2 linked regions of the Caenorhabditis elegans genome follow. The protein of the gene in region 1 interacts with the protein of each later gene in a pairwise test. Each region holds a gene or a part of one and is shown in the gene's direction. Other genes may lie near its edges.

Region 1 (7,657 bases):
AATCAGTTAATTTTCTCAGTTTCTTTAGATTTTCCAGTTCGTACGTACGTTTTTTTAATGTTAAGCATTAGAAATATGATGATTCACGATCCAAAATTTATTTTTTCACATTAGTCATCTCTGTTTCTTTGTTTCTTCGTTTCTTTCCTATCAAAATAACTAAAATTGACGTCAGAAAACGTTTGTACAAACATATTAAACTTCCCGTAGTTTCTATTCTCAAAAACATTATTGTTATCCTCTTATCTTCCTATTTTTGAGATTTGATCGTTCCTTGTGATCATTTATTCACTCTTTCATTGCCAACGTGATCGGGAGGCGAAAAACGAAACAACGAAGAAAAATCATGTGAGCTTTCTGTCAGAAACCGATCGGAGAGAAATTGCGATTTTAAACTTTGAATTTCGTTTTTCCATCTGACCCGACGAACGTTTTTGTCAAACCGCTTTATCACAAAGATCACAGAAATATTTCAAACAATTTTTTTTTGAATGTTCGCTGGTAAAAATTGAATAATATTAAATGAAGTTGTCCGTGCAAACTTCCCTAAAGTTTGAGTTACTCTAATCCAAATAATCTAGTTTTTAAAATATCTATCCTAAAATTTTAGTTCTATGGAATAGTCCAAAGTATCTTTCATCGATGACATCATGTTGTTAGTTTATACCAGTAATGTGACAGTGTAGGCCAAACAAGTGTGAAGGTCGAATGAAATTTCGCTATTATTTTTCATTTATATGTCTGTCAAACCATTTTCCATTTTGAACACTTTATTCCAATTTTAAGTAATCAATTTCTTTATTCTCTAGGAAAATGCTCACGTGAAAATTTAAAAGTGGAGAGTGTGTAAATTTAGAGTTTTCAAGCTTCCAATCGGCAAATATTTGCTTTAATTTCATTTTTATGCAGAGAGCGGAGGAGCACACATACTGTTCAGGTGCCAAGAGGTCGTATTTGCTGTCTTATCATATGGTTTGGTTTGGCGCCAGAAGGAGGTCGGATATCCGTTAACCTCTAAAGTTTCGATGGCATCAGTTGGTGTTCTAGCTTTCTAACTGATCAGGTGCCATTGCTCACGTGGCTCCTGGTGATCTTGATTCTATCATCACATAGTTGTCTTTAGAGTTAACTCCGATGTATTGGCTGAATATTGTAGAAAAAGTCCTTGATCTTCTCATGAATACATTCCTCACGATTCACAATCTGCAATAAACCACCAGCAATTAATATTATGGTTATCTAGTACATACGAAAGAATGACCTAGGTTCTTTGCACCCTGTAGAACCTGTTTTTCCGTATCTCTTCATCGTGATTTAATTTGATTCGTCGATCGGTTTCCCCCATGTTATCATAGTGTAAAACCATGATGAAGCCTAATCATGTGGTGTGCACTCATTTTCTTATCATTTTTGCAGAAAAAATGTTTGATGACGAGCCATTCTCGTGGCGTCACATTGACATGCTTCCAGTTGTTAAATTTTTTCGAACCAACTGACGTTGTTGATAGAAAATTCGCATATTTCTTGGAATCATATGTCCTATCTCAGTGCACATGGAACGTCTAAAGAATGTGAGAAAGAACGGCAGAAGCTCATGATTCGATGTTTTTTTCCCATCCAGTCTGGTCAACTGTGATATTCCATGAACAGTCACACGTCTGCTCGTTCTTTCGGCCTGTTTCTTCTGTTCCTCCGCCAAATCACTCGTCATTTGCGTCTTTCTTCTCATGACGACCACTGCATGGATGGCTTTAAATTGTTGGTAGCCAACATTTTTCTTCTTTTTTTTTCTCTGTTTTTCAACTCATTCGGTTAGAGTTTAAGATTCGTTGAGTTTGGCACGTTTTCTGCTTGCAATCGGATATCTGTGGAGTTTAAAACACATATGTTCTTTTCTTTGCAAATTTGCTTGAACTATTCTCAAGTTTTCTCAAAATAATATATTTATCACCTTCTAGTTTTACTGATACGTTTAGTCAGAAGCCTTTTAAAACTATATAATTCTGGGATTTTCTTTTATTACATTCATCCTTACTCAATTTTAATTGCTTCTTTATACTTTATTATTCTATTCTATGATTTTCAGAACTTTAATTTCCACTTTTTCAGCCGAAAAACTAATGTATCGAGTGCTTTTGAGTGGTGCTGCTGGCAGCGGAAAGGGAACAATTGCACGAATGCTCGTGCGAGAATTCGAACCCCTAGGATTCAATTATTTCGCTGCTGGAGACTTTATTCGCGATCATATTGCCAGAGGGACAGGTAAGCATTGATAATTTCTGCCATTTAAAAGAAAATTAGTTTAAAAAAACCATTAAAATTTTGCAGAATTCGGAGTTCGTGCACAATCGTTCCTCAACAAGGGCGAGCACGTTCCAGACAGTATTCTGAACGGAGCCATACTGGCGGAGATGCTTAAAGCAGGACCACGTGTCGTTCTCGACGGATATCCACGAAACATGAGCCAGCTGAAAATGGTTGAAGAGCAGGCGCCGTTGAATTTGATCGTTGAATTGAAGGTTTGTGTTTTTTGTTTTTGAAAAAAAACAAAAATTTTTAAAAGTGGGTTTTTGAAAAAAAAAACAATTTTTAAAAGTGGGTTTTTGAAATAAAATTAAACAAGAAACGAAAAAAAAACAAATATTTTTAAAGGTTCCTCGCAAAGTGCTCATCGATCGTTTGTCAAAGCAATTGGTGCATCCAGCATCCGGAAGAGCATACAATTTGGAAGTGAATCCACCAAAGGAGGAGGTCAGCCGATTTTAAAAAAATTAATTCCTGTTTTAATGAATTATTTACAGGGCAAAGACGATATCACGGGAGAGCCACTGTTCAAGCGAAGCACGGATCAGTTGGAGGTGGCAAGAAGGAGGCTTGAGGTTTACGATAAGACAGAAAACAAGGTGTTGGACTATTATAAGTGAGTTTTGTTTTTGAAAATCTATAAAAAATGTTGAAATGTTGAAAAAAAAACATAAAAATTCTTCGAAGCAATTATTTTGCCTCGGCGATTATTCCATTACGTAATAGGGTTTAAAAATTTCTCCTATTAACCATACACGAAATTTTGTAATTTTTAAACCAAAAACCGACAATTTTTAGTTGGATGCGAATTTTAACTGTAATAAACGTTCGTTTAATTTGTTTTTGCAAATAAATATTTATATTTTAAATGAAAAAATTCGAAAAATCAATGAAAATTCCGCTGCGGCTAAAGTTTGAAACTACAGTACTCCTTAAAGGCGCACACACATTTTTCCATTCAACATAAGTTTGTCCTGTCGAGACCGGGTACCGTATATTTCGCTCAAAATTCCACTTCTATGTAATATACATTTATGGGTAATCAAAAAATGTGACCGTTGTTCAGAAAATAATTCACTTTCAAGAAAATGAAGTATCCTTGTTGAAAACTTAGATGATCAAAAATTAGATTAGACTGCCTAATTTTCAAGATTGAAACCTCTGTCTTCAACAAACCTGTACCTTTTTTTCATAAAAGTAAGCTATTTTTTGAAAAAACGATCTCATTGACATTGTTTGAGAGCGTTATTGGCAAATAGCTAAATTTACTTAATTAACACTTTTCTCATTTCCAGGAAGCAAAACAAGTGCATCACAATGTCTGGTGAATCATCGAAAGCCGTATTCGAGTCGGTTGCCGAAGTGATGCGTCGTGATCTTTTGACGACAACTCCAAGAACTGCATACGCATAAGTTCTACACTGAATACTGTATCCTATTTCTCTAACCATCCAGACCTTTGAACACCCATTGAACCATTTGATTACGGGTTAGTCTCCCTAGAAAATCGAATTAATTCTGCTGTTTTTTCTTCTCTCTTCCTTTCTCCATGAACGCTTTATTTCGGTTTGCCCCATGTTTTCCCCTGTTATCCAACAATTTTCCTATATCTGAAAACGGATTTTTGAAATCCAATATTTCTTAAATTTTTTCTCGACACGACACACATGATTTTATACACATGATTTTTCATTTATTTGTTTTCTTATTTTCTTCTCTTCAAGTTATGGGTATTTTTGCGTGTAAATGAAAATCTTTTCATATTTCTAAAATTTGTTTTCAAGTTCTTCATTTGCGGATTTTGACCGTAGGCTTCATGTTTACAGGATAGAAGAGAAGACAGAGAGAGACGACTTTTTCGCTGAAAATACGGTACCTCGTCTCGACACGACAACTTCTCGATAACTGAACAATATAAAGACATTAATTTTTAACACATCGTGAGAATCGAAAAAATCGATAAAAATTGGGAATAAACGAGAGTTTCAACCTACAGTACTCTTTAAAGGCGCATACTTTTTCTCGTTAAACATAAATTAGTCGTGTCGAGACCAAGTACCAAATTTTTAACGAAAAATTGTAACATTTCGAGTCTGTAATATTTAAGGAAATAATGAATGTCCTCGCAAAAAATATGTTCAAGTAAAGAGAGTGCAAACGCGCTCTGTTGAAAATTCAAAAGAAATGGGAGACGCAGAGGAGAGAAACGAAATTTCCCGATTTCTCTCCTTCATTCGTTTAATTTACAATCTATATTGCAAAAAACTAGATATTTTGTGGCATTTTTACAATTAAAAAACCTTTAAAAAATGGATCACCATGCTATGTACCGAACCGCTGAATTCAACAAAACTACTGTCCGATTATTGGCGGAATTCATCGAAAAGACTGGGCAGAATGCGACGATAGTGAATATGGACAGCTTTTTGGAGTTCTTTGCGTATTTGAATCCCACGGCTCCAATTCCAACGGTTCCAGAAATTGTGAGTTTTATTTATTTTTTTTTTGCAGATTTTTTGCAGAGACTTGAAAAAGTAAATAGTTTTAATATTATAATTTAAAAACATGTATTTCAGGAAAAACAATTATTGCTAAAATCACCGATTCGTTGCATTGTGTGTGGAATGGAAACTGAATCAGATTCCGCAGTGACATTAAGCATCGATAATGCTTCAATTATTCTCACAGCGACAGTAATTGGTTACTGTAGAGATCCAAGTGATGCAGTTAATCAAATTCGAAAGGAGAGTCTTCGAGCATGCACGAAACATTTCAACAGTATTGTAAGTTTTAATTTAAATTGAAAAGGAAAAAATTAAAAAAAAAGATTTAATTCCAGTTCCATGTCATCTTCGAAGGACTGCAAATCGAGAACACCTACTGTGCTCATCATGCAAAATACAGTCTTGCCAATCGTTGGTGCAAAGTCTACACGATGATTCGAGTAAGTTATTTAATTGGAAATTTAATAAAGTTAAATTTAAAATAAAAATTTTCAGTCTTCCCTGGGCGAGCAGTTCACAAAGTTCGATGTGCGCAATTTTAAATCAATATTGCAATCATTTTTGGATACTTTTGGTGAAATTGATGACGACAAAAAGGATAAAGAATCTTCTCATTTTGATGAATGTTTTGAAGAAATGGATTCAGAAAACGTAGAAATTAAAATGGAGAGCCCACAAGAAGAAGCTGCAGAGAAATCGAAGTTTTCTGAAAACCTAGTGGAGGTAAAACTGGAACCAATTGAAACTCATGAACTTGACAAAACTATATCCGACTTTTCTTCAAGTGATATAATTGATTCGTCCCAAAAACTGCAGCAAAATGGTTTTCCTGAAAAAGTGGAGCAAATGGACAAATATAGCAACAAATTGAAAGATGAAGCTTCAGACAAAAAGTATGAAAAGCCAGGAAAAAAGGACTACGTTGAAGAAGAGGGATACTGGGCGCCGATCACCGACAGCGAGGATGATGAAGCCTGAATTTATTTAATCAAACGTTTTGGAAATTTTTTTTGTTTTTGTCAATAAAACCATATAACAATTTTCCTGCACAACCAATACATTGAATCGAATCTTTTAGCCTCCAGAGTGCACAAATCTATAAATTTTTCAGGACTTGTTGTAATTTCGCATGATTTTGATGTGCCTCTTAAAGGCGCCCGGATTTATCCAGATGAGTCTTGGCACGCAAAAAAGTTTTTGCCGTTTTTGATCCATTTTCTGTTAAAAATTATTTTAAATCAGTTTTCGCATTACAAAAACTATTTTTTTTCATCAAAAAATGTGTGATTTTCTGTTTGTCGGCCAGGAAATAAAAAGAAAGCAACACAATTCGCAAAAAACTATGTTTTTTCATTGAGAAATGCAAGGAGAATAAACTAGAAAGCTGCCACAAAAAATAATACCATCAACTTTTATCGTGCCGAGACCCATCTGGATGAATCCGTGCGCCTTTAATAAGAAATGTCAAAATCTTGTGAAATTACAATATATCTATTTTTTGCACAATTAATATTTTGTATCGAGTTATTTAGCGCTGGAAATGCCCGAGAAATATTTCAGATTTCCAAATGTTTTGTTTTATTGCAAAAAACACGAAGACTACTGAACGCGCACACAGCCGAACACCAAATTGTAAACGCGCTCCGCTGAGTGTGCCGAAAAAGTCGGTGGTCGTCGGTGCTTGGTAAATACGTATTGATTTTCCAATTGCCAGCCACGGCAACCGGGTTGCCGAATGACTTGACATGTTTCATCTTCAAACTTACTCTGCATTTATGAACAGGAATGTGGATCCAAAATCGTGGTGGCTCACCGAGAAGGTAATTGCCGAGTTGCCGTAACCTAGCAACCGGCAATTATACCCACATTCTCTCAATTCTTAGTTTTTCCTCACTTCATTTTTTCTGTAGATAAATATCTGAGTTTTCCTTTTATTATTTTAATTCTTTTTTCAGATGTCTAAAATTGCAAAGTTCTACGATGCTATAGAAGAAGGAAGATTTAGATGCAAAATTTGTAATTATATCGGAAAAAGAGGACAACAAGGTGATTTGGATTTAAAAAAACATTTTAGAGATCGACTTTCTGTAAATCTCTAGAGCAAAACCATATAGTTTCTGAATCTAAAAGCTACCGTAGTTTTTTTTTTTTTTAATTTCCATCAATTTCAGTATTTTTTCAGGTTCCACGTATCCACAGATCAAACATATGAAAAGGTTACATCCAAATGAGTTTGCAGAAGTTGACGGATCACAGCCTCCGCAAGTTACTCTCAATACAACTACTCCACCTACAGTACTCCCAGTGGCTCCAAAAGTGGAAAAAATGGAACTGAAAGCAGATGTAGGTATTCTTAATTATAGATACAATTGCAGTTCACATTAATCGGGCAAGATTCAATGAAAAATTAAATTATTCAGTGAGAAAAACAATGTTTAAAAAACGTTATTTTTTTCATCAAAGAATGTTTTAAAAATGTTCAACATTAAAAACAGCCAATTTTTATAAAAAATTTGGCATTTTACCAAAACTTTCAACTTTGGAAGTCGATCAAAAACATCGGTTTTTTCTAAAAATTTGTTGATTACGTTCCAAATACTTATTTTTAAATATGCAATAATTTTCTAAATTTTTATTTTTTATTTTTTTATTTTTTTAATTCCAAATTTTGTAAAAGTAAAGTATAAGTGGAATTTTGGCAATTTACCAAAACGTTAACTGAGATTAAAAAAACCCACATTTTAGACAAGGTGAAATTTATTTCTCAATTATTAAATTTTTCTATTTCAGATGCTTTGCCAGCCATCCGATGAGCAACTGCGATTCCACAATCAAACTACAAATTTAAT
Region 2 (7,479 bases), on another chromosome or scaffold:
CTTTTCATGGCGCGTGAGAGCAAAACGTACATTTGCCGTCTCCATTTCCTGGAGACCCTCGACGAGATCTACCAGATGCTACGTCTGAAATCTGCCGATGATATTCTGATTTGCCCATTGGACTTGATTCAGAACGCATTGATCACTGTTTCCGCCCTCCGTCCACACATTATTGCTTCACAACTTCGAAAGATTCTTCACGATTTTGCCGAAAGAAATAATCATCTTCGTGAAACGCCAGCGGTAAGTTTCCGTTTTTAAAATTGCACATTTTGAAACAAATTAATTGTTTTTAGGAATTGAAGAAACTTGGACAACAATACTTTGACTACCGCGAGCCCGAACCTGAGCCAGAGAGAAACGATGTGGATGAGCAAGAAATCATACCGAAACTCTTTCGCCAGCCACGCAAGCAAGTTCTGGAAGCTGATCAGCATGACGGAACTGTCAAGGTTATAGAGCAGGAAGATTTCAAGCTCCCAACTGTCAAACCGTCTGAAAATGAGGAATGCGACAATCCGGGCGTTTGCTGCTTCTGTTCGAAACGTGGCGACCGAGGTGGAATGCTTCGTGTCCCGAGAAGTGAGGAACGTTTGGCTAGATGGGTGGATAAGCTTGGACCAGAATTTGAAGCCCGACTTCACACCAATACGGAAAACCTAATTTGCCGAAGCCATTTCCCAGATGCAGCGTTCAGCAGTCGTGGTAGACTTTTGAAAGGAATGATTCCAGATGCTGCTCCAGAAAAAGTTGAGACCACGTATATCATTCAAGGGAACAACTTCCTCAAACTCAAAGAGCGCAAGTCTGGAACTGATAAGAATTCAGCCATTGATTTGGCGAATATGTTAAACCCCGACGGTGTTGAATATACTCAGGAAGAAGAAGAAGAAGAGGAATATGAAGAAATGTCAAGATCCCCAACGGAAGAGACTTCAGACGACGAGCCCAGTCAAGCAGCAGTTTACAACAATGCTCCAGTGATAAAACGTACCTATAGAAAGCGGGAGTTGTCAAACGAGGATGGACCTCTTAACTTGGTAACACCACCTGCTCATACTCCGAACCCAAGAGGGCGCCCAAGGAAGTATCCCAAGAATAGTGTAACACCAGAAGCTGAAAAAAGCCTCACCGACTACGACTACAATCCGGGAACATCTCAACGACGTGCACTTAAGAAAGGTTACGTACAACTCGAAGACGGAGAAATTGTCGGCGAAGATTGCGAATACGTGCCTGAAAAAACACCAAGTGGAAGATTGATTCGACAAGCTGTTGCTAGACGAAGCTTTGCTTTTGCTGATGAGGAAGAGGAGGAGGAAGAGTATGAAGAATCTCCAATTGTTAAAAAGCCCAAGATTGCTGGAAGAGTGAGTTTTTGAAAAATATATGCTTTGAATTATTTTTATATTTTTTCAGCCAGTCGGACGACCGCGCAAAGATGCTAATAAGCTGCCAACCCCCACACCACCCAGCAACGAATAAGTGGAAATATTTTCATCCACCGTTCCTGATTGTTGTTTTTATATATAATTTTTTCTCCATTGATGTTTTTGATGATTAAGTCATACGCATAGTTTTACCCTGTTACTTTGATTGCCCTTAAAATTACCACTTTTATTTTACCTATTTATTTTAATCATCATTCATCTGAAACCTCACAATGATGAGATGATCTCATCATTTTTATATTTTGTAGTTTTATATCAGTTTTATAAATGTTCACCGAAATTTGATGCCAACTGGTTTTTTTCTAATTCTTTCCAAATGGTTTCACATCACCAAATGACAATTTTCCTTTACTTTCCTATCTTGCTTATCATACACTATCACTTATTCAGATTCCTAATGTTGGCTCCAGCGGCTCCAGCTAAAGATGTTGTCTCGGCAGATGAAAAAGAAGAAATCATTGCGAAAAGAAAATTTCGAATGAAAAACGTTGATGCTATGCGAATGTCAAGCTTGGCGAACGATCGGATGGCTTTCAACAAGAAATGCAATGCCCTAGCGATGAAGTTTGTTAAAAGTGCCGGCATTGGAACGGATGCTCTGCAGCTCACATGTTTCCAGGAGCTCGTCCGGCATTTCAACCCAATTGCCGCAGTTGTTGTTGGTGTCAAAAGAGAGGTATGGCTTTTTAAGGATTTTCTCCCATTTTCTGATATATCTAGTTAAAGGTGGAGTAGCGCCAGTGGGGAAATTGTTAAAAACTACTCCTTTAGTGCCAAAAGGACCAAATATCAAAATAAAACTTTTCAAACATTTTTTGAAAATTTTTTATTTACTGTCAAAAAGTGACAATCATTCAGTGTTTGCCAATCATAATTTTGGAAGTCGACAAAAAAATGTTCTCCTACATTTAAAATGCAATTTTGTTTTGCCTACTTGTATTAAAACATTGTTGGGGTCGGAACATGCGACATTGCTGTGGATTTCCTCAAAAGCTCATATTTTTCATAGTTTTGGCAATATGCCAAAACTTTGACTGGAAATTATGAAAGATCTAAAAATTTTTGGAGTGTTTTATTATGATATTCGGTCGTTTTGAATCATGATAAGGTTGAATAAGAAGTGTTCTATCTTCAATGTTTCAGCCAAACTCCAATGTACAAGCTGAAAAAAAGACAATTCCAAAAGTCAAGACAATACAAACACCTACCCAGTCAATGGAATCTGTTCGATTGGTAAGCAGAAATGTTTGAAGATTATTCATAATAATGCGTATATGGTTTCAGCTCCAAGAGAAAAAAGCTTCAGCAACTGAAGAACAATCAGCTGAGTCTGCTTCGATCATGAAGCATTTTGCGAATACAATTCCAAACTCAACACCAACGCAAAGCGTGAAGGATGTTCTGACGGCGGCTGCAAGCAAGGGACAATTCAAAAGTAGCGCGGAAATTTTTTCACACTTTCCAAGTGAACCCAGCCCCTCGAAACCCCGTGCCACACGAGAGGGATCTCAACCGAGTGACTACACGTATTGTACCTATCTGACTCCGTGCATACTCTGCGAGAAGGCTCTTTTAATGCGAGAAAGCATTGCAATGACTGATAACGAAGCTGTGAAAGTTTTGATGGCGGCAGTGATGTCTGGCCACTTTAGAATGGCAACTGCAGAGAAAGCGATTCGTCATGAGAGGCTAAGGATGTGCTATGATCATGTTGATTTTGTAGTAAGTTGTTCAGTATTTTTTTCAAAATAGTTAAGTTTGAAAAGCTGTGAAAACTTTTCTAAAGCTGATTAGAACATAAATTCTAATTTAAAAGTTATTAATTTTATTTATAATTTTCATGGCAAAAGTTCAAAATTTTTGGTGTTTTGTTTAGTACAACCTCTATTTTATTTTATATATGTGATCGATATTAATACATTAGACTAGAAAACAAGAATTAAAGGACGATCCGTTCTTCAAGTCCTATGCACTACGGATCTGGGATTCAGGTGGTGCTCCCACTGAGTTATAATTTAAGCCACGTCCTAGCCGGGGACTGTGGCCGATAATCCTATCGTGGACTGCTCTACTTACCAATAGAGGCTGGATGAAAACCTAGGTGGTGAGGTTGGACTTGAACTTGTGACCTCCAGATTGCTAGCGGCCACCACTACCGACTGAGCTATCCTGCCCCCTTTTAGTTTAGAGATTTTAGTTTAAAAAAAACCATACACCACTTTTTCAGTACGAAATGATGTGCGACGCCTTTGAAGCTAAAACGGAAAGCGAGATCAATGAGATGCCACCGGACAGATTGATGCGTGGCCATGATATCTATAGAGCACTGAAGGTTTGATTGTCATATCTCGTTGTTCTACAACGGTGAAATGTTTTAAGAGAGTCGGCGACCTGCACAAAGGGAAGGTTACGTCGAACACTCCGCTTTACTCATTCAAGAATTCCATTAAATCTTATTACCGTAACCACGTGCCAAGGATGGTCAATGGGTCTCTCAGTAAACCGTCTCCCAAACCGTTCTCAGAGCTGGTTGCGCTTTTGCAATCGGTGAGTCTTGTGACACTTGTGAAAATTTTAAAAAAATTTAAAAAATTATTCGTTTAAGGTGCCTCCATCGACGAATCTAAATGAGTTGCTGAATCATAATCTTAGCCTCAGTGATGCTGATAAGCAAGAACTCATTCAACTCATCAATGGGAAAGATAATCGTTTCACATCTCGGAGACGGAAAATCGAGGATATTCTTGACAACAAGTTTGCTGCTGCAGCTGCAAAAGCTTATCGAGATCACAGTGAAGATGCACCTAGTGAACCGTATATTCCCAATCAAAGTGAGATGCAGAACACTGTAGAACGCAGAAAGCGAAAGCTTCATTCGCCTGAACAGGATGATGCTGGATCATCGAGTATCTCATGGAACGCAAAAAAAACGAAAACTCCAATTGACTATGTTCACCTAGCAACGCGTGTTTTGGAAGGTCATTCAATTGCCGACGAGGCGCTTTTGCACAAATCCAAAGTTTCTTATGCTCGTAATGCATTTGGTGAGAAGCCAAGCTCCCCCACTCCGCCATCTGCGCCACTAAAGTTCTGTGTTGTCAATGGAAAGAAATACTTGCGTTTTGAAAACGGAACCGGACCTCCGAAAGTTGTAGTTCAAGGGAATGTCGTTCTTCGCACTAATACTCTTAAAGACGCATTGACTACAGCGCCACGTGCACAAAACCAGCCTTCTACGTCCACAGACTCATCAAGCTCATCCGAGATGGAGGGAATACGTCAATCATTTGGGGCGCCTCAAAAGGAAGAAGAAGAAGAAGAATTAGTACCTACGCTTCTTCAAAACAAACCTACCCACGTGGAATCTTCGAGCCCCGTTGAAAAAAAACCACCAACCAAAACGAACGTAGAGAAACCAGCGGTCCGTCTAGGAAGAATGTTAACGACTGCATTTGGTTCAATGAGTTACCGAACAAGAAAATCGGTAGAGAATAAAACGGATCTCTTAAATCAGCCAACATCTGCCTCACCAAGACGCATGATTAAAGTTGTGAGAAACCGAAATCCTCACCTTGCGAAACAAGTGGCCGCCGCACCGAGTGAGCCAAAACATATTCCGCCAACGCACATGGAAAAGAAGCCGGAAGAGTTGCTCATGGATCCAAAGCCTGAGCCAATTTTTTAAACGTTCTTGATAACTTTGATTATTATCTTTTTAGTTCAATTTCATGTTTTTTTTAAACTGTTTTTTTCTCATCACAATCGATCTTATAAATATGTTACTTGTTATCAAAACTATTTCAAGAATTTCGAGTTTAGCGCATTTCGTGAGGAGGAAGTCTGAAATTAAAAGTTTTTGCAATGAATTTTTGTTCGGTCACACGGAATTTTTCAGGTTAGAAAAGTGTTTTGTGCGTGTTGGTTTTGTTGACGTCTTTTCAGAAAAAAAATTTAATGGTGTTTATTGATTGAAACCCGTATCCAAAAGATAAAACAACATACCGCAATTCCAAAAAAGAGCAAATTATGTTTGCCGGAAATGTTTAATTCCGGCCATTTGTCGATTTGCCGGAAATTTTCAATTCCGACAATTTGCCGATTTTCTGGAAGTTTTTAATTTTGGAAAGATGCCGATTTGCCGGAAATTTTCACTCCCGGCGATTTGCCGATTTGCTGGAAATTTTCGATTCCGGCCAATTGCCGGAAATTTCAGTTCCTGCGATTTGTCGGTTTTCCCGAAATTTTTAATTCCGGCAATCTGCCGATTTGCCAAAACTTTTCAATTTCGGCAATTTGCCATTTTGCCGAAAACTTTCAATTCCGGCAATTTGTCGATTTGCCGGAAATGTTCAATACCGGCAATTTACCGATTTGCAGGAATTTTTCAACTCCGGCATTTCGCCGATTTGCCGGAAATTTCAATTCCGGCCATTTGTCGATTTGCCGGAAATTTTCAATTCCGACAATTCGCCGATTTGCCGGAAATTTTTAATTCCGGCAATCTGCCGATTTGCCAAAATTTTTCAATTTCGGCAATTTGCCATTTTGCCGAAAACTTTCAATTCCGGCAATTTGTCGATTTGCCGGAAATGTTCAAACCGGCAATTTACCGATTTGCCGGAAATTTTTAATTCAGTCCATTTGCCGGAAATTCGCGATTCCGGCAATTTGTCGATTTGCCGGAAATGTTTAATACCGGCAATTTACCGATTTGCCGAAAATTTTCAATTCCGGCAACTTGCCGATTTGCCGGAAACTTTCAATTCCGGCAATTTGTTGTGCAAAACTTCAATTTCCGATCTGCCGAAAATTTTAAATCCCGGCAATTTGTCGATTTGTCGGAAATTTTCAATTCCGGCAATTTGCCGATTTGCCACATTTTTCAATTCCGGCAATTTGCTGATTTGCTAAATTTTTCAATTCCGGCAATTTGCCGGTTTGCCGAAAAAAATCGTTTGCCGCTCACCCCTCATTCATACATTATTCATTTTCACATACATACTATCTCTCTGTCAAAATCTCATACACCCTCCTGTACTCCCCCCTGCCCATTTACATCACTAGAGAGTATCGCGAAGACGGTCATTGTTGCCCCTTCGCTATGTGTAATTCAGTGCAGTATTTATTGATTTATTTTTCATATACGATTTTCACCCCTTAGCTAAAAAACTGCGATACATTGTTTTGAAAAATGAAATAACATGAACATCTAAATAATGTTTAAACGTGAAATAGCCAACAATAACTACGCAGACTTTATTGAAAATCAATTAGTGAGTACAAGCAAAGTTCCTGGTGCAGATTGCTTGGTGATCCTAAACAAATCACTTTTCACATTTGAGTCGTAGATCAAAAGAATAAAAGGTAGAGATAATGTGAACTGGAAGAAAATCAATAAATGTTCTTTCTGAATTCATAAATATAACTCACAATATCAGACGCAAAAACTAACAGCATATTGTTGAATTTAAGGAAAAAATCGGGTAGAAAGTTTAGATATGAGTTGCAAGAGTTTAGTACACTCCACATAACCTCCGAGGTGTAGACAACTGAATAGGTAAGCGATATTTTTGTCAGCTTTCTGGAGATACTCGCATTGAGAGTACTTCCTCCTGAAAAGTTTTTAAAGTTTGTTTAAGGAAAGTAGTTTAGTTGGCGAAGACTAGCAGGGGTGGGAATTTTATGTGTTTATCAACCCATTCAGTGTATGCTTCTTCAAGTTGTTTTCACAATTTCTTTTTGTTTTAGGAAAAATTTAAGGTGGAGTACCGCCAGTGGGAATTTCGTCTAAATACACTTATAATGATCCAAAACGACCAAAAATATTTCAGACTTTTCATAATTTCCGGCCAAAGTTTTGACCAATTGCCAAAGTTTTGAAAAACATTAGCTTTTGAGGAAATTTAAAGCAATGTCGCATATTCTGATCCCTACAATGCTTCAATACGAATAATTAAAACAAAATTACGGTATGAAAACTGTTGAAAAAAAACATTTTTTTTTGGTCGACTTACAAAATTATGATTGG

The links.
Region 2: the proteins of lin-56 (region 1) and lin-15A interact in a two-hybrid assay, tested with the Caenorhabditis elegans proteins (2 studies listed by BioGRID).

What each region holds. Positions count from the first base shown.
Region 1 is NC_003280.10:10,446,157-10,453,813, forward strand, and holds lin-56 (Protein lin-56), read left to right. Parts: upstream 1-3,850; 5' UTR 3,851-4,613; coding exon 4,614-4,787; intron 4,788-4,880; coding exon 4,881-5,087; intron 5,088-5,143; coding exon 5,144-5,248; intron 5,249-5,303; coding exon 5,304-5,786; 3' UTR 5,787-5,849; downstream 5,850-7,657. Other genes in the region: putative adenylate kinase isoenzyme ZK673.2, read left to right, coding at 2,121-2,262, 2,329-2,519, 2,653-2,751, 2,802-2,920, 3,600-3,717; ZK673.4 (uncharacterized protein), read left to right, coding at 6,764-6,854, 6,991-7,151, 7,599-7,657. UniProt on the Caenorhabditis elegans protein: Required for translation, stability and/or localization of lin-15a.
Region 2 is NC_003284.9:15,730,127-15,737,605, forward strand, and holds lin-15A (Protein lin-15A), read left to right. Parts: upstream 1-1,841; 5' UTR 1,842-1,848; coding exon 1,849-2,127; intron 2,128-2,594; coding exon 2,595-2,684; intron 2,685-2,735; coding exon 2,736-3,173; intron 3,174-3,678; coding exon 3,679-3,783; intron 3,784-3,830; coding exon 3,831-3,998; intron 3,999-4,056; coding exon 4,057-5,136; 3' UTR 5,137-5,239; downstream 5,240-7,479. Other genes in the region: Protein lin-15B, read left to right, coding at 1-243, 297-1,370, 1,420-1,485; srg-64 (Serpentine receptor class gamma), read right to left, coding at 6,718-6,831, 6,882-7,063. UniProt on the Caenorhabditis elegans protein: Synthetic multivulva (synMuv) class A protein. SynMuv proteins are required to repress the induction of vulval development.